Macaca mulatta: one gene and its partners. The main gene of each other region encodes a partner of the protein of the gene in region 2 in a complex. Links are inferred from orthologs where the notes say so. Each region holds a gene or a part of one and is shown on either strand. Other genes may lie near its edges.

Region 1 (3,749 bases), on a different chromosome or scaffold from region 2:
TTTAGGGACGTTCAGTTATCATTCATAACCTTTCTTGCTGTGTTTTATCTTTCTCTGTCTGATTTGGATGTTTACTAGTCATGCAACTTGGAGTAAGTTAACTAACCTTTTTTCCCTAAGCCTATTTCATTATTTGTTGAATAGGGCTAATATAGAACCTACATCATAAGAGTGCTGTTAAAGTTTTTTGAGAAGTTGCATGGATTAGCATACCTAGAAATGGGAAACACAAATACATTTTAGCCATAAAAATATATCATAATATTCATACTAGTGTTTTATATCCTGTTGCTATTGTGTTCACTTGAGAAGACATTATAAACACCTTTCCAGGTTCAAAGATAGACTTTCCACCATCATTTTAATGGTCTTGGGTAAGGTGATATGACTTCTGTAAGACTGCTGTCTCACATTATAAAAATATGCCTTCCATTGTTTCATTATTTGTTGAACTCACCTACTCAACAAATAATGAAACAGTGTAAGGCATATTATTATAACATAATTATTAAAATATTCTGTTTAAGGACCTAAAATAAATTATATATGACTATGTGAGGCAACAGTCTTTTTTTTTGTTTTTGAGAGGGAGTTTTGCTCTTGCTGTCCAGGCTGGAGTGCAATGGCGCAATCTCGGCTCACTGCAACCTCTGCTTCCCAGGTTCAAGCGATTCTCCTGCCTCAACCTCCGAGTAACTGGCATTATAAGCACCCACCACCACGTCCCAGCTTATTTTTTTGTATTTTTAGTAGAGATATGGTTTCACCATGTAGGCCAGGCTGGTCTCGAACTCCTGACCTCAGGTGATCCACCCGCCTTGGCTTCCCACAGTGCTGGGATTACAGACGTGAGCCACCACGCCCAGCCCAGACTTACAGAATATAAGATAAATGGCGAAGTGTGTCAAGTGTTTAACACTAAACACAGTTAAGACTAAAGAAATATAAGACTATTTTATTTTTCTAAGCTGGGGCTCACTGCAACTTCCAAGTTCTGGGCTCAAGCAATCCTTCCGCCTCACTTCCAGCATAGCTGGGACTACAGGGTTATCAATGCGCCTGGTTTTTAAATTTCTTTTTGTATAACGGGGTCTTGCTACGTTGCCCAGGCTGATCTTGAACTCCCAGCCTCAAGTGATCCTTCCATCTCGGCATCCCAAAATGCTGAGATTACAGACGAAGCCACCTCACCGGCCAGAAGATTATCTTATTTTGTCTCATTACACTCTCTCATCCCAGGAATTTCACTGACACTTGAGGTATCAATTTTGACCTCGCATGGATTAATCAGGTATCTGTTGTTTTGAGCCTCCAACACTTACTATTCTCCAAACCCGAATGATCATTTTATTTCATGTTATGACTATTGGCTTATTTTTGCTCTCATCCTACACACACACACACACCCCTCATTTTATTTCATGTTATGTTTCTAAAGAGGCATGGGTTAGAAATCATCGTAAATTGCCACAATAAACCTAATAAGATATTGTTACCACTTACTGGAAAAAAGTATTCTGGGTACATGTCCTACTGACCAAATTCTGACAGGAAAAGCAGCGAACCATCATTCAGAATTTCAAATGGTAAATACACAGAGCCTCTCTTATACCCCAGCTGGATTGGTGAGGAGGGAGAATATAATTTTCTCAGTCTCAAGCACCTTAGTGTCCTCCACCCCCATTCGAGGCAGAAACTCAGGATCCTGCAAATTCATTCATATTAGTCTCCCATTTCACATACAAGAGAAAATAATTAACTGGGATGGGTGGGGATGGGAGGATCTTCTACCTCTCCCCGCTCAGTATTCCCCTCCAAATTCCCCACTCTCCCTTCCTCTTATGTGGGGGTGTCACTCACATCCGCCATGATGAACCCCTTTCTCTCGCAGGATCAATCTCCACGCCTGGAAGAGAAACTCCCGGTGACTCTTACCTCTTTGGCTTCCTCGTCCTCCCCACCCCCAACTTAATAAGCAAGATCAGCCCTGGTCAGAACCCGGCAAAACCCCCGCGGTTCTAGGGCTTGGCCCAGCGAGCCCAGTGGGAGTCGGAGTGCCCCAACACCCCCACGGGTACTCAGCTGGCACGCCTTGCCTCAGCCCACCCCATCCCTGCCCCTCCACCCCAAAGAGCTAGGCCCAAACAAAAGAAGAGGGGGCCCTCTCCTTCTGTTTAGTCTCACCACCCGCGCCACCTCCGGGACTAGGCCTCAAACCAGGCAAAGTAGCGCCAGTTACCTGGGGTTTCTGGGTTGCCTGGTTCTCTCCGTTGTCACTTCAGGGACAGCTTTAAAGACAGGTTCCTCCTCAAGCCACCGTCACATGATTGATGACCTCTTCGGCGCTCCGGGAAGCACTTTCTACGCCGTCGCCCCACGATACTGGATTTCCGGAAGGGCCTGGCGGAAGCTTCGAGGGCGCGGCCGCCCGACGCGCCCCGCCCCTCCCCCGCCCACCGCGGGCCGCGTCTTGCGCCTGCGCCTTGTGTCACGGGCCGAGGGACGTCAGCTGTGGGGTAGAGGATTTGTACGAGATCGCTGGACCCTGAGGACCCCAGAAAATGCAAGCAAGGTTATGTGTTACAAGACATTCTTGTGCAGAGAGGGTGTATAAATGTCATTAGTTTTTCAGGGTCCGTTATCTTAAAACCTTTTCTTGTAGATGAAGTAATTTGAGGGGATGGTGTGATGAGCTGAAGAGCAAGCAACAGATTGCCTGTGATTGGAAGTATCAGGTCCACAGGTTTCTGACTTGTTTCCTAGGTTCTTGTGACTTCCCCATGGGTGCTCTTTACTCAAGGCCTTATCTAGATTGAATGGGGAGGAGCCATGGGTTTTCTGGAGCACTTCAAGCGTCTACTTTTAACATGCAGACACGGGATTACGGGTACTTTCTATGTTCCCTTTTACATCAGAATTTTTAAAAATTAGTAAGGTCTCATATAATAAATAATAATTGGAAAAAAAAAAAAAAAAAAAAAAAAAAGCCTTGCCGGGTGCGGTGACTGACGCCTGTAATCCCAGCACTTTGGGAGTCCGAGGCGGGACGATCCTTTGAGCCCAGGAGTTCCACACCAGCCTGGCAAGATAGAACCCCATCTCTACTACTACTACTACTACTAATAATAATAACAACAATAAAGAATTAGCCTTACGTGGCGTGCGCCAGGTACTCCGGAAGCTGAGGCATGAGGATCCCTTCAGCCCAGGGTTTGAGGCTGCATTGAGTGGTGATCGCCCCACTGAACTCCAGCTTGAGTGACAGAGCGAGATGCTCAAAAGAAAAGCTTCTTTAGAAATCACATCCTCTTTCAGCTACCACCCTGTTTTTCCTCTACTCCCTTTCATAGCCAAATTTTCAGAAAATTTTAGCCTGGTTTTTAATTGCTGCTTGCATGTCACAAATCTAATCAGAGTTCTGTTGATTCTACCTCCTATCTTTGAAAACTAGTCACCTATCTATGTTCGTACCCTAGTGCAAGCCATGATCATCTCTCTCTTGACAATAACCTCCTATTCTTCTTACATTCTCTTTTGCCCTCCAGTCTCCATAGAGCAACAAAAATGATGTTCTAAAAACCCAAATCGGATCATTTAACTCCTTTCTTGAAAATCAACTTTATTATAAAGTTCAATATCAGCATCATGGTTTATATATCGTTCTTATGGGGATCTGGCCCCTATATTGATTCTCTCACCTACCCTGGATTCCTTATGCTATGATCATACAAGTTTGTTTCCACTTCCAT
Region 2 (3,649 bases):
GTTGTTTGTTTAGTTTCTTGATGCTGATCAACAGCCCCTCTTTCTGGCTTCAACGGTTTGGTGTGATGTCTGGTAATCTGATCCACCACTGCCTGACTTCGAAGCTCAGTATCTGAATCAGGTGACATAGAATCCCCAATCAGGAAAGTAACCTTTGTCTGGGCAGCCTCACAAGAAAATGAAGCAGGCACAATCTTATCTGGAGGTTTTTTCTCCACAACCATTCCTGTGGATCTCATTGCTTTGCCTGTGTGACTGTCTGAATCCAGCAACTTCTCACTCTGCCATGTTTCCTCTGTTGGCTCTAAGCCTGACTCTGACAATGCACATTTGTCTACTGGAACAGATCCTGTGCAAACAACCGTCTCTAACTTGGCATCAAGGCAAGTTCTTAATTTATCTCTGTACTGTTTAACATCAACAGCATTTTCTTCTTGGCAGTCAGAAGGAGAAATCATCCGGCACTCATCTGAAATTCCTAGCAGCTCCTTAGAGCTGTTTTGAGCATCTTCTCTCTCTTGTTGTGAAATGTTCTCTACATTTTGCCCAAGGAGTGGATGACTGCAATATTTACAGTTACAACTGGGAGTTCTTATTTCTTCTGACTCTTTAAAGAGCAAACTGCTTTTGTTTCTATGCATTGTGACAAGGACATACTCCGATTCTTCTATTTCACCTTTCTCTAAAGTGGTAGTAATTACTGTGCCTGGCATAACGATGGCTTCATCTTCTCCATTTTCTAAAAGATGCGTTTCTTGAAGTTCAGAGCATCTTATAAAATAAGTAAGAAAATAAAGTAGCCTCTGGACCATGTCTTGTCGTTTGCCAACTACCACAGTCCTTGCTAACCGTACAGGAGAGCCAATAGCGCCATACAAGTCTCCTGTAATGGAAAAATCAGTTATTGGACACATCCTTTACTGACACAGCTAAGTAAGCTATTTTTAATGATCAGAAACCTAATCTTACTGTATGAGTAGTTGTTTAGGTTTTACTTTTTTTTTTTTTTTTTTTTTTTTTGAGACAGGGTCTCACACTGTAATCCTGGCTGGAGTACAGTGGTACAGTCATGGTTCACTGCAGCCTCAGCCTCCTAGGCTCAAGTAATTATCCTACCTCAGCCTCCTGAGTAGCTGGGACTATAGGTATGTGCCACCACGCCTGGCTAATTATCTGTATTTTTTTTTGTAGAGACAGAGTTTTGCCATGTTTCCTAGGCTGATCTTGAGTTCCTGGGCTCAAGCAATCCACTGGCCTTGGCCTCCCACAGTACTGGGATTACAGGCATGAGCCAACATGCCTGGCCTCATTCTTAGTTCTTTAACAGATGAGTGACTATTCAAGGGAGGAAGATGAGATGAATAGTCTTAACCAGAGAGAAAGGTGAATTTAAGGGTTTTCAGGCTTCCTCTTTAAACAAATGCTATGGTTCAGAAACCTCAAGCAAAGAGTCAGTTCTGAAACTCATATATCCCAAGAATATTCTTTAACCCAGGCTCCATGAAGAGCATTTTTACCTGGTTAGAGAAGTACTGCCTGAAGTACTATGTACACAAGGACCCTGCAGCTGTGTCCAATCAAGAAAAGACAAAGCACAATATCTGCTGGCTTGCAAGGACAGGAAAGGAGTAGCGGTAAAATGGAGCAAAGCTAGAGTAGTCACACCACACACTTAATCATTCCTGATTTAAATCATATCTCTGGGGCCAGGCACGGTGGCTCACGCTTGTAATTCCAGCACTCTGGGAGGCCGAGATGGGTGGATCACTTGATATCAGGAGTTCAAGACCAGCCTGGCCAACATGGTAAAACTCTGTACTTACTAAAAATACAAAAATTAGCCAGGTGTTGTGGTGGATGCCTGTAGTCCCACCTACTCGGGAGGCTGAGGCTGGGGAATTGCTTGAACCCAGGAGGCAGAGGGTGCATTGAGCTGAGATGACACCATTGCAATCCAGCCTGGGCGACAAGAGTGAGACTCCGTCTCAAAAAAAAAAAAAAAGAAAAAAAGAAATAAAATTAAAAAGTAAGTCATATCTCTAAACTTTAACTGTTGTTCCCCTAGCCAGCACCCCATCCCACCAGCTCCCATGTTAGTAAGAGCCTATTTTCCCCTTCCATTCCCTAGAGGGTTGGGTACACAGGATAGGCCAGAAGGGGCAGGAAGAGAGAGACTCATCCTTACTAAAAGGAAAAGAAAGGGCAACGAGTTTAGCCATGCAATTCATTTTCACTTTTGAACCCATTCTAAACATGACTAGCGATTATGTTAAAAGCAGGGGAAGTGAGGGGGTCAGGACTAGAAATTATCATTTCTATATTTATGCTATACTTCAAATTAAACCAGTAATTTCAGTGCCAAAACTATGGAGAACAGGGCTGGGCATGGTGGCTTATGCAGGTAATCCCAGCATTTTGGGAGGTGGAAGCAGGCTGATCACTCGAGCCCAGCAGTTTAAGACCAGTCTGGGTAACATGGCAAAACTCTCGTCTCTACAAAAAAATACAGAAAATTAGCTGGGCATGGTGGCTTGCTCCTGTAATCCCAGCTACTTGAGAGGAAAAGGTGGAAGAATCACCTGAGCCCAGGAAGCTGAGGCTGCAGTGAACTGTGATCGCACCACCGCACTCTAGCCTGTGCGATACAGTGAGACCCTGTCTCAAGAAAGAAAGAAAAGAAAAAGGAGAATACAAAGCCACTAATTTCAACTTAATTTAATTTTTGCAAGTTGTTAGTATATACATTTAAAATCCTCTATTTTTACTTTACAAAGCCCTCACACTTTTTAAAGGAACAAATATAAATAGGTCTCAAATAAATACATGCTATAGGTATTATTATGATAAATTTTCTCCTCTGGCTAACACACTGGCTCAAATATCACCATGCCACTGTTCTAAATTACTCCCACGATTCCCACGAATTACCAAGTAAGTTGAAATTACTTTGGTATGGCAAGTGAGTCTTTCATGATTCCCATTTTACTTTTCCAGCTTTATCTTCTTATACTTATCCTCCTTCTTGGCAGTCAGAAGAAGAAATCATCTTTATTCATGCAAAGACCCAGTTAAACTGGACCACTGAATATGCTCTGCACTTTTAACACCTACTCTTTACTCATGTGATGTCCTGTCCCTTTCCTCAATATCTCTGCCAGTCCATAGCTTCCCACCTAAGCATCCTCACTTGGGCAAAAGTAGGCTCCCCTGTTCAACTCCTACTAAACTTTTCATTTCTCTTATAGTTCCTCCTTGAATTATTATTGTTGTCTGCATATATATTACCTACAGTCTTAGACTGCTGACTTCTTGAGGGCAATTTCCAAATCATTCATCTTTATAGCACAGAGCCTTAGATAGTGAACAAATGACTGTAGAATTAAAAAAGGATTTAAATGTCCCAATTTAAAAAATACTACTAATAATTTGATTTTTAAAAAGTCAGTGCAATGGAATACTACTCAGCATTAAAAAGGAATAAACTATTAATACACACAAAATAGGTGAATCTGCAAAGTATATACTGCATGATTCCATTCATATAAAACTCTAGAAAATGCAAGTAATCTATCATGACAGAAAGTAAGCCAGTGGCTGTGTAGGGATGGTGGAAGAGGAACAGAGAAACTGGGGAGAAGAAGAGGGGGAG
Region 3 (3,649 bases), on a different chromosome or scaffold from region 2:
CCTGGAAGGGGCCTCAGCACAGGCGAGAGGCCTAATAAAGAACAGGCCGGGCACCAAGCTCCAGGATGTTGGTGTGGCAGCTCACCCCGGCAGCCCCACTGCCTCGCTGCCCCACTGCAGCCACCGTCACTCCGGTGCTGAGGCTGCACGCCCTGGAGCTGCCCCGACCCCAAGACTGCGTGGCAGTGCGTCAGGCAAGCCCCTCCCCACAATGTCACAGGATTCCTCCAAGGGCAACCCCAACACCAGCTCAAGGACGCCCCAGCGGCCTGGCAGTGCCCTCCTTCCCCGGTCTGAGGTGCTCCCCACCCCCCATTCCTCACAGGCGTTTCCAGCAATGGACGCAGCTCTCACACGTCCTCTGCTTCTGCAGCGGAACCAAAAGAACAAGCTTGGGTTCCTGTTTGCACTGCAGTGACAGGTCCGACACTCAGCCCTGATTTCGGGCCCTGACCCAGGTCTTCCACACAAACAAGTGGCCCACGGGGGAAAACTCACACTCATTCCCAAGAGATCGAGAGCTGATGGAGTGACCCGCCGAGAACACTGGGGGTCCTGGGAGCAGGAAACTCCGCTGGGAGCAGGAAACTCCGCTGGGAACAGGGGTCTTTGGGGACCTGCCTCCAGGACAGGCTGGAGTGTGTGAATACAAACATGAAGGCCATGGCAGGGAGGCAGAGTGGGTTAAAGAAGTTAACACAGGCGGGGCAAGATGGTTCACGCCTGTAATCCCAGCACTTTGGGAGGCCAAGGCAAGTGGATCACCTGAGGTCAGGAGTTCAAGACCAGCCTGCCCAATATGGTGAAACCCCATCTCTACTAAAGACACAAAATTAGCCAGGCGTGGTGGCAGCCACGTGTAATCCCAGTACTCAGGAGGTTGAGGCAGGAGAATTGCTTGAACCTGGGAGGCGGAGGTTGCAGTGAGCCATGATCATACCATGGCACTCCAGCGTGGGCAACAAGAGCAAAACTCTGTCTCAAAAACAAACAAACAAACAAAAGCTACAGTCAGGACAAGCAGAAGGAACTGAAGGGCCCCTGAGAAGCAGTCTGTGTCACCCTGGGAGGCTCCATCCACTGCTCTCAGGTCCTCCCGTCCATCCCACACCTACTGCAGGGATCGCAAAACGAAGACCCCAAAGACACTTGCCTCGCACATGTCCGACTTTTTGGGCCCTGGGCTGCTGGACTCAACGCTGGCCCCCTCTGCGGGGCTGTGTGCACGCATCCGACTGCTCATCTGAATGCCGCCTTCCTCTTCCTCCGCCTGCTCGCCCTGGCCAGGACTGTCCTCATTCCCAGCCCCTTGGGGAAGTGGGGCGTGCAGGACCTCCGTGCAGAAGAGAGTGCGGGGGCCGTGGAGCTCACAGAAGTGGCAGAGAGCCACGATGGCATTCATGGTGCCTTGGAGACTGCGAGAGGCCTGCGGAGGACAGGGGACATGTCAGCTCACCAATGCCTATTCACCCCATGAAACCTCCCCAGCCCCTCTGGAGCACAGGGAGCACCTGGGTGCCATGGTTGCCTGCCCAGGAGAGGCCACCCGCCAGTTCCCCATCCCCTTGCTTTGCCCCAGTGCTGCACTGGATGCAGGCGAGAGGAGAGGAACAGAGACAGGATCTTCCCACCGGAGTCACAGGAAACAGGGGAGGGGACGATGTGGACCAGTGATAGCACAGCTGGAGTTGTGACAGAGCCAGAGTCGAAAAGCCAATGGCACAGGGAAGGAATGTCCTCGAGTGACATGAACTGCAGCCAAACATGGCAAACCCCGTGGGAACAAACAGATAAAAGGCCACGGGGAGAGGGTCCTCCACCCAATACATATCTGCTGGGCACCTGCTCCGTGTGAGGCGAGGCACTAGGTGACACAACGCTTCCCTCCGCAGCTTACCTCCTGCAGGGGGTGGGGGGCGGACACAGGAAAACTGCTTCCTGCGAGAGGCCCGCGTGGGGAATGACCAGAGGAGCCTGGAAGGACTGGCTTACGGGCCAAGCAAGAGATGAAGGGCAGGGTGGGTGCTGTACTGCCGGAGGGGCATGTAGGGTCCGGTGTTTGGAGAGGAGCAGCAGACAGGGTGGAGGCTTTAGGAAGCAGATCTTACAGCTCCTCCAGGCCACCAAAAGACCCTGGATATGTTATCAGAGACTGGGGAGGCTTTGGGGGTTCTGATGAGACATGAGAGAATGTGAATTTCACTTGAAAATGTTCAGTCATGCCCATGTGCAGAAAAGATGGCGGGGGCCAGGGTGGAGGTGGGGAACAAGCTGAGGCACCCTGCTGACTGATCTGAACAGGAAGGGACAGTGGCCCGGGCCAGGGTGGCAGATGGTGAAGCGGCACAGTGCGGGTGGGGGTGCAGAGTGCAGAGGAGGAGTGAGCAGGGGAGGAAAGGAGGCTCAGTGAGTGCCTGCGAAGCCTTCACGGGGACGGGCCACTGCAGCAGAGCCAAGCGCTGCTGTCAGGGATGGCACATGGGACCTCTGTGGAGTACAGCCCTTGCAGGCTCAGAGGTGGAGAAGGGAGGACAGCTAGCCAAGGTGACCAAGCTCAGGCAGTGAGGCCAGAAGGGAGCTCCAGGGTCACCCCAGTGACCAGGTGAACAAACTACTTTAGCAAGGTGGGACTGGAATGTCACATGGCCTTAAAAAGGAAGGAAACCCTGCCAGAGCTATGGCACGGCTGAACCTGGAGGACATTACGCCAAGTGATCTACAGTGGTCACAAACAGATAAACACTGTAGGATTCCACTTAAATATGAGGTACCTAGAGCCCTCAAAGCCACAGAGACAGAGAGCGGAATGGCGGCTGCCAGGGGCGGAGAGGGAAGAGCAGGGCACAGTTCTAGAGATGGAAGGTGGCGATGGCTGCACAGCACTGTGAACATACTTCATGCCACGGCACTGCACGCCCAACGGTGGTTCAAATGGCGCATTTTAGGTCATGTATTATTTCACCACAATCTTTTAAAAAGGGGGAATGGTAACCTGCAGAACAATGATGAGGTCAAAGGTGACCTTAACACAGTTTCCGGTGGAGAAAAAGCTCACAGGAGTGGGTAGAAAGAGCCCTTTGGAGAGTTTCTGTGGCAGAGCCAGCAACGGGACACCTGGTGCGGACATGGAGTCAAGGGAAGCCCCAAGCTTGGCCACAGTATGGCTGGGATGCTGGCGGAGCCATGCAAAGGCCAAGGGCAGCTACAGGCACAAAGTCTGAGGGACACCACGCACACACTGCAGAGGGCTGGCCGCGGCGGCATCCATATACCTTCCTAACGGATGCAGGAAAGCCAGAGAAGGCTTTACAATGGGGGTGTGTCATGGGGTTCTGACAGGCAGAGAAGTTCGGGAAACGAGACCGCAGAAGCAAAGGTGCACAGTGGGGACAGCCACAGCCAACAGCCTAACATGTGACACAGCCTGACACATGCAGCCAGACCCACACTGTCCATATGGTGGCCACAGCCATGTGTGACAACTTAAATTTAAAATGTAAATTAGCTAGGAGAGGCCGGCACAGTGGCTCACGCCTGTAATCCCAGCACTTTGGGAGGCCAAGGTGGGTGGATCACTTGAGGTCAGGAGTTTGAGACCAGCCTGGCCGAAGCGGTGAAACCCTGTCTCTACTAAGAATACAAAAATTAG

The links.
Region 1: FNIP1 (region 2) and LAMTOR3 share a complex: the UniProt entries of both Homo sapiens proteins name them as parts of the lysosomal folliculin complex. The link is inferred for Macaca mulatta from reciprocal best matches to the Homo sapiens genes FNIP1 and LAMTOR3.
Region 3: FNIP1 (region 2) and FLCN share a complex: the UniProt entries of both Homo sapiens proteins name them as parts of the lysosomal folliculin complex. The link is inferred for Macaca mulatta from reciprocal best matches to the Homo sapiens genes FNIP1 and FLCN.

The regions. Positions count from the first base shown.
Region 1 is NC_133410.1:109,210,964-109,214,712, forward strand, and holds the start of LAMTOR3 (ragulator complex protein LAMTOR3), read right to left. Parts: upstream 2,324-3,749; 5' UTR 2,240-2,323; intron 1,907-2,239; 5' UTR 1,870-1,906; coding exon 1,861-1,869; intron 1-1,860. Other genes in the region: uncharacterized protein LOC144340815, read left to right, coding at 2,324-2,572. UniProt on the Homo sapiens protein: As part of the Ragulator complex it is involved in amino acid sensing and activation of mTORC1, a signaling complex promoting cell growth in response to growth factors, energy levels, and amino acids.
Region 2 is NC_133411.1:140,588,422-140,592,070, forward strand, and holds part of FNIP1 (folliculin-interacting protein 1), read right to left. Parts: intron 884-3,649; coding exon 1-883. UniProt on the Homo sapiens protein: Binding partner of the GTPase-activating protein FLCN: involved in the cellular response to amino acid availability by regulating the non-canonical mTORC1 signaling cascade controlling the MiT/TFE factors TFEB and TFE3.
Region 3 is NC_133421.1:18,780,987-18,784,635, forward strand, and holds part of FLCN (folliculin), read right to left. Parts: intron 1,427-3,649; 5' UTR 1,403-1,426; coding exon 1,154-1,402; intron 976-1,153; exon of another isoform or gene 505-975; coding exon of another isoform or gene 499-504; intron 1-498. UniProt on the Homo sapiens protein: Multi-functional protein, involved in both the cellular response to amino acid availability and in the regulation of glycolysis.